Lonchura striata: one gene and its partners. The protein of the gene in region 1 interacts with the protein of each later gene in a biochemical or structural test. Links are inferred from orthologs where the notes say so. Each region holds a gene or a part of one and is shown on either strand. Other genes may lie near its edges.

The links.
Region 2: the proteins of MAP1LC3A (region 1) and PHB2 form a complex in vitro, tested with the Homo sapiens proteins (2 studies listed by BioGRID). The link is inferred for Lonchura striata from reciprocal best matches to the Homo sapiens genes MAP1LC3A and PHB2.
Region 3: the proteins of MAP1LC3A (region 1) and ATG7 form a complex in vitro, tested with the Homo sapiens proteins (2 studies listed by BioGRID, with this or other methods). The link is inferred for Lonchura striata from reciprocal best matches to the Homo sapiens genes MAP1LC3A and ATG7.

Annotation. Positions count from the first base shown.
Region 1 is NC_134619.1:13,501,321-13,508,942, reverse strand, and holds the start of MAP1LC3A (microtubule-associated protein 1 light chain 3 alpha), read left to right. Parts: upstream 1-4,618; 5' UTR 4,619-4,703; coding exon 4,704-4,743; intron 4,744-7,622. UniProt on the Homo sapiens protein: Ubiquitin-like modifier involved in formation of autophagosomal vacuoles (autophagosomes). While LC3s are involved in elongation of the phagophore membrane, the GABARAP/GATE-16 subfamily is essential for a later stage in autophagosome maturation.
Region 2 is NC_134604.1:29,818,469-29,825,590, forward strand, and holds the start of PHB2 (prohibitin-2), read right to left. Parts: upstream 3,008-7,122; 5' UTR 2,956-3,007; coding exon 2,829-2,955; intron 2,749-2,828; coding exon 2,664-2,748; intron 2,594-2,663; coding exon 2,514-2,593; intron 2,127-2,513; coding exon 1,942-2,126; intron 1-1,941. Other genes in the region: EMG1 (ribosomal RNA small subunit methyltransferase NEP1), read left to right, coding at 3,214-3,357, 3,443-3,544, 3,848-3,989, 4,350-4,408, 5,877-6,026, 6,794-6,907.
Region 3 is NC_134614.1:5,343,560-5,351,177, reverse strand, and holds the start of ATG7 (ubiquitin-like modifier-activating enzyme ATG7), read left to right. Parts: upstream 1-4,611; 5' UTR 4,612-4,620; coding exon 4,621-4,786; intron 4,787-4,963; coding exon 4,964-5,018; intron 5,019-6,182; coding exon 6,183-6,300; intron 6,301-7,120; coding exon 7,121-7,198; intron 7,199-7,618. UniProt on the Homo sapiens protein: E1-like activating enzyme involved in the 2 ubiquitin-like systems required for cytoplasm to vacuole transport (Cvt) and autophagy.

The DNA.
Region 1 (7,622 bases):
TTCGAGATTTTCTTGAAAATCAGAACCTTCCTAGGACTGTTTTTGTTTGTCTGTTGCTTTCTCTGAACAAGGATTTGGCCCAAGGGCATGTGCAGTTCACTCACAATTGGCTCTTGTGTTGTAGTGTTTTCCTGCCACTTTCTCTCCACTCCAGACAGAATTTTCATGGCTAAGGAAGTCCATTGATGGCACCCATGGGAAATCTCACACTGTCTCAGCTCAGTAGCCAGTTTAATCTCCTATTTTCCTTTAGTACTTTTCAATTGATGCCATTAAAGATTAAAAAAAACCAAAAACCACATGGTTACTCCAAAATGCTCAAGGGGTTATTTTGGTGGAGTTTTTCTTCAGGAAAAAAAAAAAAAAAAAAAAAAAAAAAAAGCAGGGCTGGAGAATGCTATGGTAACTGCAGCTGTGGAGATTTTGGTAAAAATGTTGGTGTTGAGTTGGGCACTTGTGGCTTTCAGAGCCCTGCGAAGGGTGGGTGTGGGAGGATTCAAACAGCCAAGGTACCCTGCATGTTTTCTCTGTGCATTTTCAGACCTGGACATGAATTTTTGGACTGTGTATAATCTGCTAGGTGGTGTCCATGACCCTGAAGGTCAGAAATGCCTGTTGGGGTCTGTAGCCCTGTAGCATCAGTGCTTTGCGTGTCCCAGCTGCCCCTGTGACTCAGGTATTGCTGTTCATGAGCTGCTTCTCCCTTTACACTAGGTCTGGTTTAAGCCATTCCATCAAAACAGGGAATAGGGTCTGGAATCCTGCTTGGTCTTTGGTGCAGCTCCTGATATGCAGCAGTTTACATAATGCCTTTGATCTGCAATAATTGTATGCTGCCTCCCAAAAAAATTAACCTCCAGCAAGCTGAAGTCTGGCTAATTGAACAGTGAGGCAAGGCAGAAGAAAAATGTGACCTCAGTGATCTCTCTCTGTTGTTTGTAACCCAGAGAAATATTTCCTTGGAGGTGGTGACCTGCTTATGGATTTTTGCTTTCTCAAGTAGGTGGCAGTGCTACTTCTCTGAACAGTGAAAAATCTGTAGTGTCCTGCATTCTTTTGGACACTTCCTTAATGATAGCTGTCCTACCAGTAGCTTGGTGTCACAGTAGCTTGGGACAGAGTATTGAGTGTTGGTTTTAAGTAAAACAAGCTGTAATAAATAACCTATTGCAAAACAAAAGATCATGGCCCTTTTTTATTGTGTTGAGATCATAAAACTTGCAGTGAAATGACTGAACTCATGCTATGTGCTGGTTGGTTGGAGGATTGAGGGTTGGTTAGGGGATTTTTCTCAGGATTGAGAGCAGCCTGGCATGAAATATACTTGGGAATTTGAATGAAAGGCTCTTAAGCTGGGTTGGGAGTCAAGGAGTTTGTCAGATCGATCTGGGCAGGGCCTTACTTAGGCCATGTAGTGCCACCTTTACACCAGCACCCAAAATTAATTCAGATTTATTTTTTAAAACTGGCAAGAGGTGAAGCAAGCTGAAGAACAAAAACTATCATTTACTTACTATGGAACAAAGTAATTAACTAAATAGTAACTAAACTAATAAACTAAACTCAAGTTTATTTGGATTAGGACCATTAGAGAGTCACAGAGCTGTCAGCAATTTCCATGTATGAAAGTCAGGGGAGGGTGTCATTTTCCTACATTACCACAAACGGTCAAAAAGAAAGATGGAGCTCAGTTTCTGGTCCTGTGCTTCGTGAGTCTGGGCCTGGTTATTTGTATGGTAAAACTACTGCCAGACTGAGGAAGAGAGAAAAATTAGCATTATGGTTCTAGTCCTTTTTCCTAGCCAGGATCACAGGAAGCTTGAGCAGCCTATGCCATCTGCATCTTGGAGCTGCTCTGTGCTGGGGCTGGCCTGGTTTGCTGTCTTGGAAAAGTCAGTTTTGGTTTTGGTGGATCCCTGTCGAAGGCTGAGGAAACATCTGCTGTTGGGAAAACAAACCCTGATGGATTAACAAGGTAATGAAAGGGAGTTTGGGGCATGGCTCTGGGCTGGGAAGGGCAGCATGTGAGACCCAAGGATGTGCTACCTCTGTGCTGAGATAAGGCTCTGACAAGAGTGGAGGTAACTGTAAAAGCTGAGCTTGTGAACACCTTCTGTGGATTTGTGTTGGCTCCAGAACCCTCCCAAGTAACTCCTTCCCTGCCTAAGGTGGCTGACAGTGTCCTTCACATACAGGACACAGATGTGTCTGCCCCATCCCTGGAAGTGTCCAAGGCCAGGTTGGACAGGGCTTGGAGCAACCTGGGATAATGGAAGGTATGGGCAGGGGTGGGACTGGATGAGACTTAAGGCCCCTTCCAACCTAAACCAGTCTGTGATTTGTTTCATCTTGTCTTAGTTACTTCTCTAGAGGACAAAGGCAAAGATCTCACACCAAGAGAGGCTGGGCTAAAGTGAGCAGAGCTACAGCAGCTCCTGGGACCCACCAGCTGCAAGAGAAGCAGAAGCAGCTGGGGGTGCAGGGGCAGCAGCTTGGACACTGCCTTGGCCAGCAGGAGCCCGGGCATCAACACAATTCTGTTGGCAAAAATACACTTCCTTTACCAGGATTACAGGATTCCTCCAGGGAGATTTCCCTCACTGCTGTGGTTTCACAAGATCCAGGAGTGCTCGTTTTTAGTGGTGCTGCACTGTGGAATGCTGGCATGCGGGAAGATCCTTGTCGATTCCAGGTCATGTCAGGACAGCTCGCTGGTGCCTTAAACCTTTGACTGATCTGGGGAGAAGGGGGTGGGATCTCAAATGCACCTCCTTAAATAAGGAGTTTGGCCAGGGACATCAGTAAAACCAGGCAAGAGGGGCATTAATGTGTGCTGAATTGTTCAGGAAGCTGAGGGCTGAAGGAATAAGTGTATAAATTAAATCAAACTATTTGATCCATATCCCATTTCTGGAGGTACACTAACATGCTGAGAAGCTCCGGAGGTCCTATGAAATGGAGTTTTTTCTCCCTTTCCAGGTTTCTGAATAATTTTCTGTGGAATTATGGCCACAGTCCTGCAGTGAGGTCTGCATGGATAAAACCAGGGGCCACATCATGAAATTGGAAAGACTTTCACATTCCTCTCATTGAAAAGAGGTTCACACTTTATAGCAACAGTAACAAGCCCCATTGCTGAGGATGAAGTCTGTAAAGGTCATCACTTGCCATGTCTGATTCAACATTCCTGCTTTCCCTTCAGTATTTTTAACAGGACCTATATCAGAGATTAATATCTTTACGTGTATCTTAATTATGGAAGTGAATCTGAAGAGTTTATACTTCCTTACCAGTATGTGCTTGTTTAACTACTGCTTGGTCAAGGAAAATCCATTATATTGAGCATGTAAGTGTTTTCTTTCTTGGGTAAACTCAGCAAGGAAACAAGAATTTCTTCAATTCTCATTAAACACATATTTGTTTAAATTGGTGACGCAATAATCGGAGCAGTTCTTTCAAAACTGCATTTTTCATGTATTTTTTTTTACCAAGGTTGTACTTAATCCTTTAACATTTTGTGTTTGCTCCTGTTTTGTGCCAATTCACTGTAGCAATGAGACATTGCTCCACACGATACAGCTCCTGTTGTGGCGTGCAGTGAGGAGGGATATTAGACCTGGTGATACACTGACGCTCTGTTTGCAGTTGTTTTTGATTCATTTATCAGCTCCAGAAATAGCTGCCCTATTTGTAGTCATGCTGCAGGCTTTAACATATTCAGCATAGCCATGGCTGTGAATGCAGGAGGGAAAACAACGGGCTCGTTAGCAGAGAGATGATTGGGGTAGATGGGAATCACAAATGTCAGAGTATCTGTGAGAAAGTAGTTTACATCCAGGTTTGTTGGCTGGAATCTGGTCTGAGCTGTTGTGGCTTCATCCCCACACAATCCTTCCTTCTCCACCCTTCTCACAACAGCCACATTTGCTGCCCAAAGCTGGTGGTGACACTCGGAAGATGTTTTAGTGAAGATGTCCAGAAGATGCCACCGCAGGCCAGAGTCACGGACACCTCTGTCTGTGGAGCAGCTCTGGAAATCCCAGCCCAGGTGTCCTTCTGCTGCCTTAAGCAAGGCCCTCAGGTCCTCTGCTCCATCAGGACTGGAAAAAAAGCTTGTGTTTGGGGTCACCTCTGAATAAAGCACCATGTCCCATCGGGAAATGGGGATGCTCTGCCATGGCTCGTGTCACGGCCATCCTCGTGTCACCAGCTGCTCTCTCCCATGTTGCGGCTTGTAAAAAAGAAAGGGGCAGATAGTAATAGGACAAGAGGGAATAGTTTTAGACAAAAGAAGTGAGATTTCGATTGGTATTGGGAAGGAATTTTTCCCTGTGATGATGCTGAGGTCCTGGCACAGGGTGCCCAGGGAAGCTGTGACTGTCCCATCCTTGGCAGTGCCCAAGGCCAGGCGGGACAGGGCTGGGAGCAGCCTGGGACAGTGGAGGGTGTCCCTGCCATGGCAGGGGCGGCACGGGCTGGGCTGTAGGGCCCGTTCCAGCCCAACCCCGGAGCGGCCCCGCGCCCCCCGCGCCCCCCGCGCCCCGCGCCCCCCGCGCCCCCCGCGCCCCGCGCCCCGCGGTCCCGGGGCGGGCGGGCTCAGGCCCCGCCCCCTGAGGGCGGTGCGCGGTGACGTCACCGCCGCTCCGCCGCAGCCCCAGCGCAGACGGAGCCGCCCGGTGCCGGAGCCGCCCGGTGCCGCCGCAATGCCCTCGGACCGGCCCTTCAAGCAGCGCCGCACCTTCGGTGAGCCGGGACCGGCCGGGAGCGGCCGCGCGGGAGGGAGGGACGGGCGGGCGGATGTGCCCTGCGCCGCCCCCGCCGTGCTGCCCGGCGGGGCGGCCCCGCCCGGGCCGGGGCTCGGCCGCCGCGGGTCCCGCCGGGGCGGCCGCGGGAGCAGCGGGGCCCGGCCGGGGGCGGCGGTGCCGCAGCCGCCGCGCGGTGATGTCATCCCGCGCCGCGCCCGGCCGAGCGCAGCGCTGTCCCCGGGCCGTCCCCGCTTCTCCCGGGGACCGGGGTCACCGGGGCGCGGCGGCGGCCGCAAAGGGCCGTGGAACGCCCGGGGGGACGGTGATGGCCACGTGTCCCTTTCGACTGTCAGAACACAAAGACCTCCCCAAAAATCGCCTTCCGCGCTCCCCATCTGGTCGGCGTTGGGGCGGTTGTTGTTCCAGGATGTCGCACGCCCTCTGTGATGGTTGTGAGACACAGAGTCAGTGCTCGCATCCTCCCCGCCTCTTTGTCAGAGGTCCGTGGTGGGGAGGCTCAAAAGGTGAGGAGGTGACTGTAGAAAGTCCCGGATTTCTATCTCCAGACCCGACAGCGGAATCCGAGGAAACACCAACTGCTGTTTTCCCTTGACCTTTGCCGGCTGGCGCAGGGAGAGGTGTGTGCTTCTGGCAGGTTAAATTTCTGGGGAGGGGGTAGCAGTTGAACTTTACTCGCTGTATAATGCTGAAATCGGTACTTTTATGCCATAAAAAACCCTCATATTGTGCCAGAGACTGTCCAAACGCAGGTGAGGGCGTTTCCTACATGAGTTTTAAAATTGGAGTTTTTGCCTGCTGAAAGCTGCTGATCCAGCCCCTTCTGCTCTCTTGGAAACTGTAAATATTTGGTATTATATTGGCACAACCCTTCTGGCCTTGAATGCTTACCCAGTCCTCCCCTGCCACAGGACCGAGCCAAGGGAACATGCACAAACAAGAACCAGCTGAAGCCTGGGAGCTTGGGATCCTTGCTGGGAACCTGCTGTGTGCTCCTAAGCTACGTATTAAAACCAGTGAAGTCCTAAATCGGCCCCTTAGTAACTACCTACTGTTAAATTGGTGAGAATCAGCTTATTATGGTTAGGAGTAGACTGGTTTGCCTTTGTGGATTGCTCAGACTTTCTTTGAGCCAGAGGGAAAACAAAATCTGAGGCTCAGAGTAGTTGAAAGAAAGCAGGATTAAAATAGCCCGGGAGGGACAGAGGGGGTGAGGGAGTTTGGTGCCGGCAACTGCAAGTGCTCCTTGTTTCTCCGTACTTTCCTCTGCCCTTTTGCTCTCTCAGCTGACTGGGCTGCAGAGCTGAGCCAGGAGGAGAGAAGGAGGAGGACGCCTGGCAGCCCCTGCAGTTGCTTTGGGTCAGGGCTGGAATTACTCTGTTGGAGAAAGTAAATATGGCTTGTTTTTGTCTTTGAATCATTACACAACAGGAGCAGGAAGTGATTGTTTACAATGCAGTTGGAGAGGGCTAGTGGAAAACATCTCCAGTGATTCCATACCCTCAGAATGGCTTAATTTTTAAGGCTTCAAAACTTTACAGAAATGGAACGGTTCCAAAAAAGCAGTGAAAAGGCAGAGTCAGGGCTATGGCTGTTTACAAAAGGCACACAGGCTCCAGTTTCATGGCAAGTGGCTGCCTTAGGTCTTGGGCTGCTGCTTCTCAGTGAAGATTCTCGTTTCCCCAAAGCTTGTGTTCCCCCCTTCTTGTATTTTTTGAATTTTTCTGTGAATTTCTTAGGTTTGTTCAACTGCTTGGTCTTGGGTCTCTCCTGAGTAAAATTTCCTGATTTCTCCTCATCATTTCTAAGGACTTGAGAAGGGGACTGACTGTGAAACAACAGGGGTTTGATCCAAGGTGTGTGGAGGGCACGGAGCAGTGACTCCTCCCGTGATCTCAGGTGCTGTCCCTGGTGGGCAGGTGAGCTCTGTGAGCTGGTCCTTGGCAGCAGAACGTCCTTGCTGTGTGTGCAGGGGGTAAGATGTGGCAGCACCCTCTGCATCCATGTGCTGAACCCAGAGGCTGAGGCATGTTCAGATCTGTTGCAGGAGTCCAAAACAATTCCCAGAACAAAGCTGTGGTCTGTGTCAGAGGAACAGGCTGTCCTGGCAGTCGTGAGAGTGTGCAGCAGCCTGATGACACCATTGCACTTCCCGAAAGGAACACGGGTCCTTGGGAGCATTGTCCCACTGCTCCTGAAGTGAGGTTTGCATTGGGCTGGCAGCAGCTGCCAGCTGTGTTTTCAGTGCAGCACAAAATCAGTGTGGTGATGGACATGGGCCTGGATCCTGGAGCAGCCAGGTGACCCAGAGCACCTTGGTCCCGTGCCCCCGTGTCCGGCAGGAACAGAGGCAGGAACACACCTGCATGTGCCTTGTGGCTCAACTGGAGTCCCTGATTTGGTGACAAACACAGAGGTTTGACCTCAGCCTCTGTGGACAGAGTGTTCCCATCCCAGGTTCCATCCTCTTGGAGATCTGCCTTTGTTTGTGGGAAGCCACTCTCTCTTCAGAGGAAACGCAGTGGTGGGTGTGGAGCAAATCCCCTGTTGGCTCTGGGGATCGGCGTCCCTGGGGACTCATCCAGCACAAGCCAGCTGTGCTTGTACCCACTGAGAGACCAGTAGTGGCTGAATTGTCTGCCTCACACACCGTTCTGTGCTTATCACAACAGTTCTGCTCATTAGTGGCTTGGAAAAACATCTGGATATTGATGTGAGATTGGTCTGTGAGCCCTCGCTGGTCCTTGGCTGGTTCTTGGGTGTCTGTGCTCTGGCAGTTGTGCTTTGAGAGCTGGGATTCCTTGAGAGGAGGATGCTGCTCCAAATTGCTGCTTAGCTGCCTGTGTCTTGGATTAATTA
Region 2 (7,122 bases), on another chromosome or scaffold:
CAGCCAAAAAAAGCATTTTCAAAACTCTATTACAGCTCATCTACAGTTACTACTAAACTGTTCTACGCAAGTAACACTGTGAAAGTAAAAAACCTTGAAAGTGTCTTTTGCTTTCACATCCAGTTCCATAGCTCCCACAGTTCTGGCAATAAGCATTTCTTTATCCACCTGGATTTGCCACTGTTTGCAGGCTGTGCTTTCATAACTGTACTCCAACACAAAAAAAGAAATGACCACATAGTTTTTTTAACCTATATCAGATCTCTTAATTACAGTAGCTACTTGTCTAGTGTAGCAACTCCACTTTTTTCGGCTGCTTTGGGTGGGTGTTGCTGTTTGATACTTTGATTTATTCTACACTTACTTCCCAGCACCTCTTTCAGGCAGCCTGACAAGTCCTGCACCAAATATTGACTTAAACAGAAACTATTGCTACAATATCACATGCTTGGCCAATTGACCATTTGCTTTTACTTTTAGTGCAGCTGTTTCTGAGCAGAACTCTAAATAGTGACAGAAAACTTTCCTGTGTGAACTGTCAGTGCACAACTACATTAAGTCACTTAATTTTTTTCTATCAATCCGTTCAATACCATATCACTTTAGAATAACAAGCACTAGATGGATACATGACAAGATAAATGCAATTCAGTTTGTTCCAAAATTTCTGAGATTAAACAATGATTCTTATCTGAGATCACAGATGCTTAACAGCCTTTGCTTCCAGCACAGCTGAAACCCTCACACAGATATTCTTTGCTGTCTCATCCTCTCCACACACTCTCTTTCTACATGAAGACTAACAAATCCCTCCAGTGCACTCCATGTGGATGAGCACAAAAAGCTGAAGCCCCTCACCAGGGGGATACAGGTCACTTCTTATAACAAAACCAGGACACCCAGCTTCACTCTTTGGTTCTTTTGACACAGATCAGAGATACAGTCTCTGATAGCTGAAAGATGCTTTGTATTTCATCCAACAGCTTTTCCTCTTCAACACCCTCCTGGTCCTGCAGGACATCCTCTAAAACCTTTTACAACAAGACCAGCACCTCCTCTCTGCGCCAGCTGCTGTAGGGGATGAGAGCTCTCAGAATCCCTGGCAATCAAACTATTACAATACAAGCTTCCACAAACAGGCATTTTTAAGCTAGGTAATTCTAATATTTTGCAACACTCCCCCAGAGGACACTCTCCCACTCTAAGCTTTTTCTAATCATTGCCTGCAGAGAGGGTGCCAAGACAACTGAGCCAGGCTCTTCTCAGAGATGTCAAACAACAGGACAAGAGGCAATGGGCAGAAACCAGAACACAGGAAGCTCCACCTGGATAGGAGGAATAACTTCTTACTGTGCAGGTGACAGGGCACTGTAACAGGCAGCCCAAAGAGCTTGTGGAGTCTCCCTCACTACAGACATTCAAGAACCATCTGAATGGAACCCTGTGCCATGTGCTCTGGGATGACCTGGCTTGAGCTGGGAGGCTGGAGCAGATGACCCACTGTGGTCCTTCCAGCCTGGCCCACTCTGTGACTGCAAACAGAAGTTATACATGACTCTTCTGAAGCATCCACCACTGACAGGTTAGTGCTCTGTTAACTGCTCATTCCCACTGTTTCTCAAATTGTTCAAAACCGTTTCATTTGCTCTGACAGTCATTCCAAGGTCTGTATTTTTAAAGCCAGTTCCACAGACACCTGTGGACCGTGAAGCAAACCAGCTCACCCTTAGTGTTACATTCTGGTGCAGTTTTGCACTCTGTGCACCAACAGACCCACTTCCCTCCTCTAAAGCTGCTGACACAGCATTTGTACCTGCACTGGAATCAAGCTGTACGTGGGACACGCTTCCCACGTGGATGCAGTACCCCCAGCTGAACACAGCCACTCTTCCTGCACCTGCCACATGGCTCCCCCGTCAAGGCTGCCGCGGCAGGGCTCACCTGGGCCCTCTGTGTGATGAGCTGCGAGGCGTTGAACTTGGCCACGACGCTCTTGAGCACCTCGTTGACGATGGAGGGCAGCACACGCTCCTCGTAGTCCAGCCCCAGGCGCTGGTACATGCTGGGCAGCTCGGCCGCGTTGGGCCGCGTCAGCACCCGCAGCGAGATGTTCACCATCTGCAGGTCTGCGGGGACAGCAGCGCTCAGGGCCGCGGGGCGGCTGCACAGCCCCTCCCCGGCAGCAACGGGACAAGGAGCAGGCAGCACCGACTGGGAGAGGGACACTTGGGCTGGGAATTGGGAAGAAATCCTTTACGGTGAGGGCGGGGTGACACAAGCTGTCCAGGGAAGCTGCGGATGCCTCAGCCCTGGAGGTGCTCGTGACCAGGTGGGATGGGGCTTTGAGCAGCCTGGGCTGGTGAAAGGCGTCACTATCCACGGCAGGAAATTGTGACTGAACGATTTTTAAGGTCTATTCCAAGCCCTTAACATTCCGTAATTGTCTGAAAAGCGCCTCCACTATGGCGGAGCTCCTGTCCTGTGCTCCCCACCCCGTGGCCCCTCCGTCTCACCTTTGGAACCAGTGGGGGAGGAGATTTTCCGCGGCCGCGCTCGGATGTCGTAGATGATGGGGTACTGGAACCAGGGGATCCTGCGGGAGCGGAGCCGCGTTAGGGGCGAGGGCCCCGCCGGGCCGGGGGGCCGGGGGGGCCGGGCCCTACCTGAAGTGCAGCCCCTCGGCCAGGATGGTGTCCTGCTGCACGCCGCCGATGCGGTTGAAGAAAATGGCGCGCTGGCCGCCCTCCACTGCGGGGAGAGAGCGAGGCTTTGGTCAGCGTGGACAGCGGCCGCGAAGGCTCCGAGGGGCTGGGGGGGACCCCACTCACCAATGAAGACGGACTCTCGCACGCCGTAGGCCAGGGCGCCGGCGCCCAGCAGCAGCTTGAGCGCGGTGCCGACGCCGCGGGGCCCGGTCGGCAGCCGCCCCGCCAGGTCCTTCAGGTTCTGCGCCATGGCCGCCCCGCCGCCGCCCCCGCCGGGAAGGACACCGGAAGGAGCGACCGCCGTGCCGCTCCGGCGGGAAACCGCGGCGCCGGGAGCTCCCCACGCTGCCCCTTCCCGCCCCCAGCACTCGCCTTCCGGCGCGGCGGCCGAGGCGCTCCGGAAGCGGGTCCGGCCGGAGCCAGATCGAGGGCGCGCCCCGGCGCCATCTTGGGTGGCCGCGGCGGGAAGGGCGGGGCCGGGGCGGGGCCGGCGGGGCCGCGTGACAAAATGGCGGCGCCCAGGCGGGCACGTGGGGCCGCGCCGCCGGAGGAAGAGGAGGAGGATGAAGGGCGCTCGCCGGGCGCCAAGCGGCTCCGCGGCCAGCGCCGGCTCCTCGTCGTGCTGGAGGGGGCGAGCCTGGAGACCGTGAAGGTGTGGGCGGCGGGAGATCGGGGCGGGTCCGGGCGTGCCCGGGATGGTCTCGCTCGCCGCTCACCCGTCCGTGCTTTGGCCGTAGGTGGGGAAGACGTTCGAGCTGCTGAACTGCGACAAGCACAAGGCGCTGCTGCTGCGGAATGGCCGGGACCCCGGGGAGGTGCGGCCTGACATCACGCACCAGGTACCCGCTGGGCCCGGCGGGGCGGCTCGGGGCCATCGCCCCTCGGGTCCGGGCGTCCGCCGGTGCCCCTGGAGCCCGGGGCCGAGTTTGGGCTCCCCCGCTGTGCTGGTGGGCTTTAAGCTGAGTCTGAGTTTGGGTGTGGGCTTGATTTCTTAGCATTACAGTGTCCCGTCCCGTAATGAGATGAGCTTTCAGCCTCGACATCGCTCCCGTCTGCATTTGCGGGGGCTAAGCATCAATTTTCCCTAAAATTTTCTCTCTTATGCCTTTCTATTTCCACTATCGTGTGCTTTTCACTTTCAGAGTCTCCTGATGCTCATGGACAGCCCCCTGAATCGGGCTGGGCTCCTACAGGTTTATATCCACACCAAGAAAAATGTTCTCATTGAAGTCAATCCCCAGACCAGAATCCCAAGAACTTTTGATCGATTCTGTGGGCTAATGGGTAAGCAATTCAAACTACACCAGCTACAGAATAATGCAGGGAGGTAGTCAGGACTGGGGGAATTTCGGGTAAAGTGAAAAACTAGCACCGACCTTACGATGTGAAAGTGAGAAAAGAGCACAGAAGCGAGAGCATCTTTCTGGGATGTTCCAGGATGCATACCCCAGCTGTGTGCTCCTTAGCACAGTGGAGAGTGCCTGCAGGAGGCTGTGCTGTCAGCAAAATAAATTCTTTCAGACTGTGATAGGAACTCTAAAGGTGGACTTTTGGTGTACCTCAGGTTAGGCAAAGCATGGGATTCATCCAACAAATCGCCACACAGCTTAAGTGATTTTTCTTGTTTTGTTTTCTCTTTGCCAGTTCAGCTGTTACATAAGCTCAGTGTTAGAGCAGCTGATGGGCCTCAGAAACTGCTGAAGGTAAATATTTTGTAACTGTTCACAGCAAATATTGCAACATTGTAATGGAATGTAGGAGGGATTTTTTCTCGATGGGGAGAAGGTGTTTTTTTGGTTGCGAGTCCTGATTGTGGGTGTGGTTTCTGATCTATCCCGTCCTATCCTCGCTGGTGGCCCTGGTTTCAGGGGAGCTGCCCCACATGCTAACCTGGCTAGGAGCTGCTGCTGCAGGAAGGAAACCCCAAACACACCAGTCTTTGGAGCTGAGGGATCTGTTCCTCATGTGAGCCTGACTGCCACGCATGGGCATTGACACTTTCTGGGTACAGCTTTCAAAAAGGCAGAGAGAGGTGGAAATGAAGATGTAATTAACTTGAATGGCTTCTGCAGTCACGGAGGGGGAGACTGGATAAACCACATGGACAAAAGATTTATCGGATATCAGATTCCTCCGATGAAGAACCACCCCTGTGGCTGGAAAAGGCCAGAAAAGCAGCAGCCTGAGGAAGGTGATGGTAATGGCATCTTGGCAGAGAAGGCTCAGCCCTAGCCAGTGCCCCTGCCCAATGACACAGGTCAGCAGGCAGGTCAGTAAGACTCCCAGAAGCAAAGAACTAACCAGGACTTAAACGTGTTTTGTAAGTTTCTTCTGGAAAATCGGGATTCCCCAAAGAAGGAGAGTGGTTTTAAATCCCAGCAGCTGCCTGCTTGCCAGCCAAGATGACACAGAATTGCCTATAGGGGACTACAAGTCCTCCTTGCCATCCCTCTGTGCCTGTTTCAAGAGCATCTTCCAGGTACACACTGAGACTGGCAACATCTGGACACACCTGCTGGGGTTTGTTCTGTCCCTGTGCCTGGGGATCCTGACCCTGCTGCCCAATGAGTACTTCATGCCTTCTTTGCAGGAGAAGGTGGTGTTTGGGATGCTCTTCCTGGGAGCAGTGCTGTGCCTCAGCTTCCCCTGGCTATTCTATATTGCCTACTGTCACTTGGGAGAAGGTCTTGTGGACTTTTTCAATTTTGGATTATTCAGGAATTGCACTGCTGGTCATGGGGAGCTCTGCTACTCGTTCTACTGCTCCCCACAGCTAAGACTCATCTACCTGAACATCACCTGTACCTTGGGCATATCTCCACCCATCTGGGATTGTTTTTGCTCAAGGACCCGGCTGTACTTGGTGGGTAGTCGGGGGGGGATAGGGAAACAGGATGTGTACCTCAAGGGCATTTGATTTTTTGGGTGAGGGCAGTCTGTGATGTTGAATTGTGGAATGACAGTGTTGGTTGTGGAATGACACCACCGTGGTATTTTGTAAACACCAAGGACAATGAGGATGGGTTGCTCGAGATGCACCAGTCCTGAATGCAGCCTGCAAACAGCTGATGGATTTTTTGTTTGTCTGTTGATTTTAGCAAACAATGGCTCTAGCTATGTGTCAAGAGGGTCTGTTACCTCTAACCTCTATTCATTTTCTGCTTTCTGTAGGTGATAAAAAACCCAGTCACTGACCATTTGCCCGTGGGCTGTATGAAGATTGGCACCTCTTTTGCAGTGTCACAGGTGTCAGATCTGCGGGAGCTGGTTCCTGCAGCAGAGCCAGTTGTCATTGTGGTGGGAGCTTTTGCCCACGGCTCAGTAAGTGTGTGCATCCCTTATCTGGGGTTGTGGAAAGGTTTCTTGTGTTCAGTATGGAGGTTTTATCTGCCCTTTTCTTGGCTTGGTTTCCCCATCCCCATTCCCCCCCTCCCCTCATATGCTTGTCAAAAAAAGGCTCAAAACTGCTACATTTGGGACTGTTCTCCCTCCCAAGGGGAGTGCATTAGCAGAGGCTGGCAGTTTCCCTGCTGAGGAAATACTGTGCCTCTGCAGGTCTTAGGGTTGGAAGAGATCTCTGTAGATCATCCAATCCAACTCCCTGCCAAGGCAGGGTCACCTGGAGCAGGTGACACAGAAACATGTCCAGGTAGATTTTGAACGTCTCCAGAGAGGGAGACTCCACAACCTCCCTGGGCAGCATGTTCAGTTCTCTGCCACCCTCATAATAAAGAAGTTCTTCCTTCTTTTTTGGTGAAACTTCCTTGTGTTTTAGTTTATGGCCATTGCTCCTTGCCTTGTTGCTGGGCACTGGAGGAAAGAGTCTGGCACCATCTCTTGGCACCCACACTTGAGATATTTATGTGCATTAATGGGATCCCCTCTCAGTCTTCCCTTCCCTACACAAAGCAGACCCTGCAGTCTCTTCTCATAAGAGATGGTTCCATGTCTGAATAATCTGTCTAGCCTTTGCTGGACCCTCTCCAGTGGCTCCTTGTCTTTCTTGTACTAATGGAGATGAGGCTCAGTGAAAACTTTTTGCAACTTTTTTTTTTTTTTTTTTTCTATTTCTCCTCCCTCTTCTCCAGGTCAGTGTTGACTATACAGAAAAGATGGTCTCCATCAGCAACTATCCCCTTTCTGCTGCCCTGACATGTGCTAAAATTACTACTGCCTTTGAGGAAGTGTGGGGAGTAGTATGAGCTTCTGCTGCTACTGCTGTCATGATGGACTTGTATACAGTGACTTCACATTCTAGAAGGGCTTTTTAACTTGGATGTGGACCTGGTGCAGCTTTGGGCTCCTGGAAAACACTTCAACTTCATCCTTGTAGCTTCTGAAGCAATGAGACTTAAAATGGACTGCCCTGTTGACCTTTTTTCCTCCTATTAAAGGTACCTTTTTTGAGTAAAAAGTG
Region 3 (7,618 bases), on another chromosome or scaffold:
GGTTTCAAGTTGCACTCAGGAAAAACCGCAATTAGGAATCTTAAATCTAGCAGAAATAAGGCAAAATGCAGAGAGAGAACATAAAACCAACAAAATTCAGCGCAGAATGCAGACAAGTTTTTCACTGCAGGAGGAACACCTGCACAAGTAGTAAAATGCACCTCTTTGCAGTAGAGAACAGAACTTTTTGAAACACATGCTCTAATTCCTGACCTTTCACAAACAATTGCTGAGGTTCACAGCCATTAAATTGTTCTTTTTTCTATTCCGATTTGCAACAGCAATTCTGGCCAAAATGGATGGCAATTTAGATGGTCCCCGAGGAAATAAAAGTCAGCCACAGTTATTGGTGCTAAAAAACACATTTACCCAAGGACTGCTGAGAAATCTGTCCTGTTGATCATAAAAATTGCCTTTTTTGACCTTAAAATGTACTAATACACAAAAAAAACCTCAGCAAGGTCATTGAAAATTGATAAAAATCATTGAAAATTGGTCTAAAAATGATGGTGACTGTGACAACAAAAACCTTTGGTAAAAATAAAGAACATTCAAACAGCTAAACCAAGGAAAACACAGCTGCCTGAATTTTTTTTTAATTTCAAGCCAATTTACCCATGATTGTTGTGTAACTGTGTTAATAGCAAAGACAGGGGATTTGTGATAACCACATTTTATATATATAGCTATTAGATAACAATAAAACAGAGAAATGGGATAGTGTCTATTTTAAATAGCAAGTACCTAAGAAAATTTCTGAGTTTATTTCACTGAACAGGCAATTCCAGTGGCTCTGGATGTGAGGGAAGCAGAGGAAAGCAAATTTCGGTAAGAAATGGAGAAACCTCCCACCAATGTAAGGCCAAAGCTCAAGAGAATATTTCAGGTGTGGTTTCCTGTAAAATGTTTTCAGTGTTTTCCAGTTGACAGCCAAGGTCAGAGGACATGGAGTTTCAGAGAACACAACAAGAGTCTGAGGATTTCTAGGAGATACGTAAAACATGTTCACTCTCTTGTAAAAATGTTAAAACTTTAATAAAGGACAATAGGACCATAGAGCAACAGTTATTATGGCTGGGTGCATCTTGGCACTCAGTCAAGAGCACACCTGCTATTTTGGAAACACCCTTCATATACCATTTCTATTGCATCAGCCTGTTACATATATATACTGTTATGCATAGTAACAACTTTTCCTCAAACTAGTTTACAAATTCCAAGAACTGTTCAGCACAGCTCCTCCTCAGTTCTGCCTTTTTAGGGCATGCACATTCCTTGGTGGTGGTTTCAGTCCATTCTTACCAGCTCCAGTGATAAGAATGAACCTCCATAAGAATGGCTTTGGTCCATAACTGTTGGTACTTTTGGTCCAAAATATAGTCCATATTTTCTTCAGACGGTGAGTGCTGACAGTTGGCATTTCTGTACAATGTCCTCACCCTGTCTTCATGGGATGTGATCCCATCCAAGCAGGTACTTTAACACATACACACTTATATCAGCAATTTCACTAAGCTTAATTAACAACAGAAATAAAACCGGCATCTTTATAACAAAGTTACTTTAACATTACACATATAAAAATCCATTTTAGTACCTGCAAAAAGCCAATATTTTGTGTCCATAACATATTATTATAACATATTGTAATATAATTAACATATATGTCAATGATATATGTTATTATAATAAACTATGTGTTAATTATATTAACATATTACTATACTATGTGTACCAACACACAGAGATGTGCTGGGACTGATGTTTAGCAGCACAAGCTGCTCCCGGAGCGTTCCGTGGTCACCGGGGACACCTGGCGGGCCGGGAACCAGCCGGGAATTTCACCGCCCTTCCCACATTCCCAGCAAAGGCCACAGACAGAGAGGAACCACGACTGCAGGGACGCGTTTAGGCACTTTCCCACGACTAAAATGAAATTAAATTGCTGGATTTTCTCAGGGCTCCGCCGTGTGCCGGGGAAGTTGGAGCGGCACACGGCTCCAAGCGCTGCGGGACGCGGGCCCGCCCGACTGCTCCGAGGCGGGGGATGGGAACCGGGATGGGAACCGGGATGGGAACCGGGATGGGAACCGGGAGCGCACGGGAGGCGGCCCGGGCCGGGCCCGCCCTCCGTGCCCGCACGCCATCGCCCCGCGCCGCCCGCCCGTCACACGCTGCGCATCAGCGCCGTGCGCCGTGCCGGAAGGGCGGAGCGAGCGGCGCAGCCGGTAAGGGACGGCGGGCACGGGCGGCCGGGTCCCGCCGCCACCGCCACCGCCACCGCCACCGCACTGCCCCGGTACTGCCCCAGCCCCGGTACCGGCACCGCCCCAGCCCCGGTACTGCCCCAGCCCCGGCACTGCCCCAGCCCCGGTACCGCCACCGGCACTGCCCCAGCACTGCCCCGGTACCGCCCCAGCCCCAGCACTGCCCCGGTACCGCCCCAGCCCCAGCACTGCCCCAGCCCCGGTACCGCCACCAGCACTGCCCCAGTCCCAGCACTGCCCCGGTACCGCCACCGGCACTGCCCCAGCCCCGGTACCGCCACCGGCACTGCCCCGGCACTGTCCCAGCCCCGGTACCGCCACCAGCACTGCCCCAGTCCCAGCACTGCCCCGGTACCGCCCCAGCCCCAGCACTGCCCCGGTACCGCCCCAGCCCCAGCACTGCCCCAGCCCCGGTACCGCCACCAGCACTGCCCCAGTCCCAGCACTGCCCCGGTACCGCCACCGGCACTGCCCCGGTACTGCCCCAGCCCCAGCACTGCCCCGGCACCGCCCCAGCACTGCCCCGGTACCGCCACCGGCACTGCCCCGGTACTGCCCCAGCCCCAGCACTGCCCCGGTACCGCCCCCGGCACCGCCCCCGGCGGGGCTCGGCAGCGGCACCGTTCCCGCAGTGCCCCGGTACCGCCCAGCCCCAGCCCCGGCACCGTTCCCGCAGTGCCCCGGTACCGCCCAGCCCCAGCCGCGGCACCGTTCCCGCAGTGCCCCGGTACCGCCCAGCCCCAGCCCCGGCACCGTTCCCGCAGTGCCCCGGTACCGCCCAGCCCCAGCCGCGGCACCGTTCCCGCAGTGCCCCGGTACCGCCCAGCCCCAGCCCCGGCACCGTTCCCGCAGTGCCCCGGTACCGCCCAGCCCCAGCCCCGGCACCGTTCCCGCAGTGCCCCGGTACCGCCCAGCCCCAGCCGCGGCACCGTTCCCGCAGTGCCCCGGTACCGCCCAGCCCCAGCCCCGGCACCGTTCCCGCAGTGCCCCGGTACCGCCCAGCCCCAGCCCCGGCACCGTTCCCGCAGTGCCCCGGTACCGCCCAGCCCCAGCCGCGGCACCGTTCCCGCAGTGCCCCGGTACCGCCCAGCCCCAGCCCCGGCACCGTTCCCGCAGTGCCCCGGTACCGCCCAGCCCCAGCCCCGGCACCGTTCCTGCAGTGCCCCTGGCAGCCCCGCGGTCGGTGTGTCCGGGCCTCGGCCCGCTCCCCGCGGCAGCAGCCACGCGTAGACGGGGCCGGGCGGCCGGGGCCGTGTCAATGTTCCGGGATGGGGCCGTGTCCGTGTTCCGGGCCGGTGCCGGTGCTCTGTCGGTCCCGGATCGCGGTGCGGGGCCGGTGCCGTGCAGGTTCTCCGCCAGTGCCGCGTGGCTGTGCGGGGTTGGTCCCGTGTGCGTGCTCGGCTCCGGGCCCGGTGCCGTGTAGGTTGTCTGTCAGTCCGTGTCGCTGTGCGGGGCCGGTGCCGGTCCCGGTGCCGTGTGGCTGTGCTGTTTTCATGTCCATGTACGGGGACAGTGCCATGGACATGTTCGGGGCTGGTCCCGGTGCCGTGTCATTCCCGGGTCAGTGTTCGGTCCCGTTCCTGTGTCGGTATCGGTACCGTGTCAGTCCCGTTCCCGTGCCGGTCCCAGGGTCGTGTCACTCCCGTTCCCGTGTCGGTCCCGGTGCTGGTCCTGGTGCCGGTCCCGTTCCCGTTCCCGTGTCGGTCCCGTTCCTGTGCCGGTGCCGGTGTCGTGTCTGTCCCGGGGCCGTGTGGTTGTATCATTCCCGTGTCAGTGTTCGGTCCCGTTCCTGTGCCTGTCCCGGTGCCGTGTCTGTCCCGGTGCCGGTTGCTGTTCCTGTGTCAGTCCCGGTGCCGTGCCGGTGTTGGCCCCGGGGACATGTGGCTGTGTCATTCCCGTGTGGCTGTGCCGTTCCCGATTCCCGTTCCCGGTGCCGTTCCCTTGCCGTTCTCGGTTCCGGTTCCCGGTCCCGTTCCCTGTTCCCGGTCCCGTTCCCGGTTCCCGTTCCCGGTGCCGTTCCCAGTGCCGTTCCCGGTTCCCGTTCCCATTTTGCCGTTCCCGTTCCCTGTTCCCGGTCCCATTCCCGTGCCGTTCCCGCTCCCGGTTCCCGCTCCCGGTTCCCGCTCCCGGTTCCCGCTCCCGGTTCCCGTTCCCGGTGCCGTTCCCGTGCGGTTCCCGGTGCTGTTCCCAGTTCACGTTCCCGTGCGGTTCCCGGTGCCGTTCCCGTTCCCAGTTCCCGTTCCCTGTTCCCGTTCCCGTGCCGTTCCCGTTTCCCGTTCCCGTTCCCGTTCCCGTGCCGTTCCGTGCCCAGCGGGCGCTGTGTGTGTCCGCAGGGCCCCGCCGCCGCCGGGCCATGGCCGCTCCGCGCCGCGCCGCGCCGGCCCCGCCGGCCCCGCTGCAGTTCGCCCCGTTCAGCAGCGCGCTGGACGCCGGCTTCTGGCACGAGCTGACCCAGCGCAAGCTCACCCAGTACCGCCTGGACGAGACGCCCAAGCTCATCAAGGGCTACTACTACAACGGTGAGCACCGCCGCCCGGCCCGCTTCCGCTCCCGCCGCTCCTCCGGCGGCTCGCTGAAGCGCTACAAAGAATGGCTGGGAATTTTGTGTGTTTCGCTGTCATTTGCATCGACAAAGAAAGGGAAATAACCTGAATACTTTGGTTTAAAAAGAGCTTTGTTGCTGGTTTTTTGTCCAGGTGATCCTCCGGGTTTGCCAGCTCGATTGACACTGGAGTTCAGTGCCTTTGATATGTAAGTACAGGCTGTGGTTTGCTTTCATTTGTGTTTGGAGACACTTTCCTAGTATAAAATTGACATATTACTTAGAGAAACTCTACGTGAGAATAAACTCTACCTGAGAATAAACAAATTCATTTACCCTCTATGCGAGAGTAAATAAATAACCTTTTTGCCAAAGGCTCTTGTTGTTACAGTCACCATCATTCTTAGACCAATTTTCAATGATCTTGCTGAGGTTTTGTCATGTATTAGCACATTTTAAGTTCAGAAAAGGCAGTTTTCATGGATAAATAAATTAATTAATGTACTTCATAGCAGTGGAGAGATTGCTTTGAGTCACAAAAAAATTAACTCCTTCTGGCTGAATTTAAAATATTCTGAATTCTTAGATTCACTCACTTTCTACATGTATGTTTATATGAAATACCAGTTTTTTTCCCATTTCCTCAGCTTTTTGCATCAGGGAGGTTTTTTTAGTCATTTGCCTCTTCCCCTTATAGCTTAATTAGCATTTCAAATAGATTTTAGGTCCCTGGTTGTTACACTGTAATGTCCTCCAAAGTGTTTTATCTGTTATGACTGGAAAAATACCAAGTTTAGAGATCAGTGTTAAAGGAGGCAGTAAAATCCATCAGATCTGTAAATTAAGGAAATATTGTAGGATTTTAACCTAATATATCTCAAAAGTAAAATACTGATTGCAACAGCAGCTTCTCCAGCTGATGATATTACAAATTATAAAAGTTGCTCAATCTTTTGTCTGGCTTGGGTTTCCTTTGGGATGTGTTTTAAACATCAAATTTTAACTAACTCTTAGTGTGAGTACAAAACTGGCATCTAAGTTCAGCCTAAATTGGTTTTTCTCAATGCAAATCCCATTTGTCACAGGTAGCTTCTGTTTGAACAGAAATTCAAAGCTTCACTCCCTGGTTTAGTGTCACTCTGCTTGGGGAGAACACAGATGCCATGTGTATTTTTGAAGCCATGATGGAGATGTGTGTTTGCACATCTGGTTATTATTCCATCAATCCATCTTCATAAGGATTAAGTTATTTATTTAATGAATTTTAATTTTGTTGCTGTGCCTCATCATTTGGTTGAAGTTAACACCATAAGATAGATATTGCTGCTGCTGATGACTGTGTTAATTCCCAGAGTTTTCCTGCTTTTTTCCAGGAATGCTTCAATACCAGCACGTTGCTGTCCTGCTTTTGGAACATTGTATAACACCAACACTTTTGAGACTTTCAAATCCTGTGATAAAAAAGCACTTCTGGACAAGGAAGCAAAAGAGGTGAGATTTAAAATCAAATCATAGAGTGTTTCCAAATCCCTTCTACTCATTGAAGTGCTTTACACTCTGCCCCAAATTTGGAGCTATTCCAGTCTTGAGCAGCCTCAGGATTCAGTTTATTCTGGAAAGAAGAGTTTGGTGTTTGCTTTTTATTGTTCTCTACAAAAGAGTATAACCTAATTAATGATAACTAATTCTACATGGAGAACTCCATCACATTTTAAGCTCTGCAATGCTCTTGGAGCTGCCAGGGACTTAAATTCTGTAGAGCACATATTTAAAATTTGTCTTCGTACCCAAAAACCAGCAGTGCCTGGTTTAAACCCCAGATTACTACAATTTATATGTGTGACAAAGAGATGGGGAAACTTCACAGCAGCAATAATCATAAAGATAATGAGAGATAATAAAGCAAAAAAAAGATGGGTGAGAGGGGCTGGTCTGCCTGCATTGTCACCAGTGTATTTAATGTCATGGCCTGGGGAGAGGTGAAGGTCAAATTTAAGATGCTTTACTTTGACCTGTCCTTGATTCCTTTAATTAATTGCCTTGAGTAACAAAGTTTTCATGCATATCTTCACTCCAAACTAGGATTTTTTTTCGCATTCCTGTGGTCTCATAATTCCCTGTTGTCTCACCTTTAAAATCCTTTTAACACAGATAATTGTATGAATTAATTCAGTTTAAAAGAATGCTAAAGAATATTTATCTCCAGACTTTATATGTAGCTGGAAGAATTACAGATTTTTGGAGCTGTTCTCATGTTCTCTGGTGTTTCTTTGCCCTTTTTCTTCCTTCTTGTCCCCACAATCCTTGGCAGATCTGGGAATCAATCAAATCTGGAGCTGCTCTGGAGAACCCAATGCTGTTGAACAGGTTCCTGCTGCTGACATTTGCAGTGAGTACAGAAAATTTGTGTCTACTACTTGTAGTGGAAGTAGTGAAATAGTTTGTTTTTAGGAGTATTCATATATTTTGTATTAATAATAATGCTGCATTAATATATTTTTATATTATTTCCTACAAATGTATAAGATTACCTGATGGCCTTACAGATATCAGTAAAAATAGAGCAGCTGTTTCATGTTGAAGAAATTGAAAGCTTTACTACATGCTCCAGCTACCAAAGCCTGAAGGATTGTACACACATTGTCTCTTTAAATCTTAAATAAAAACATATACAGAGAATGAAGTCCTTAGCATTTTTATGATTTTCTAAAATCATTGTGAAGTAAAGACCCCTGTGGTTTCCATGGTTAAAATCATAAACCATTAATTTTAATTAGTATTGTATAATTTATTTTGATATATCTCCTTA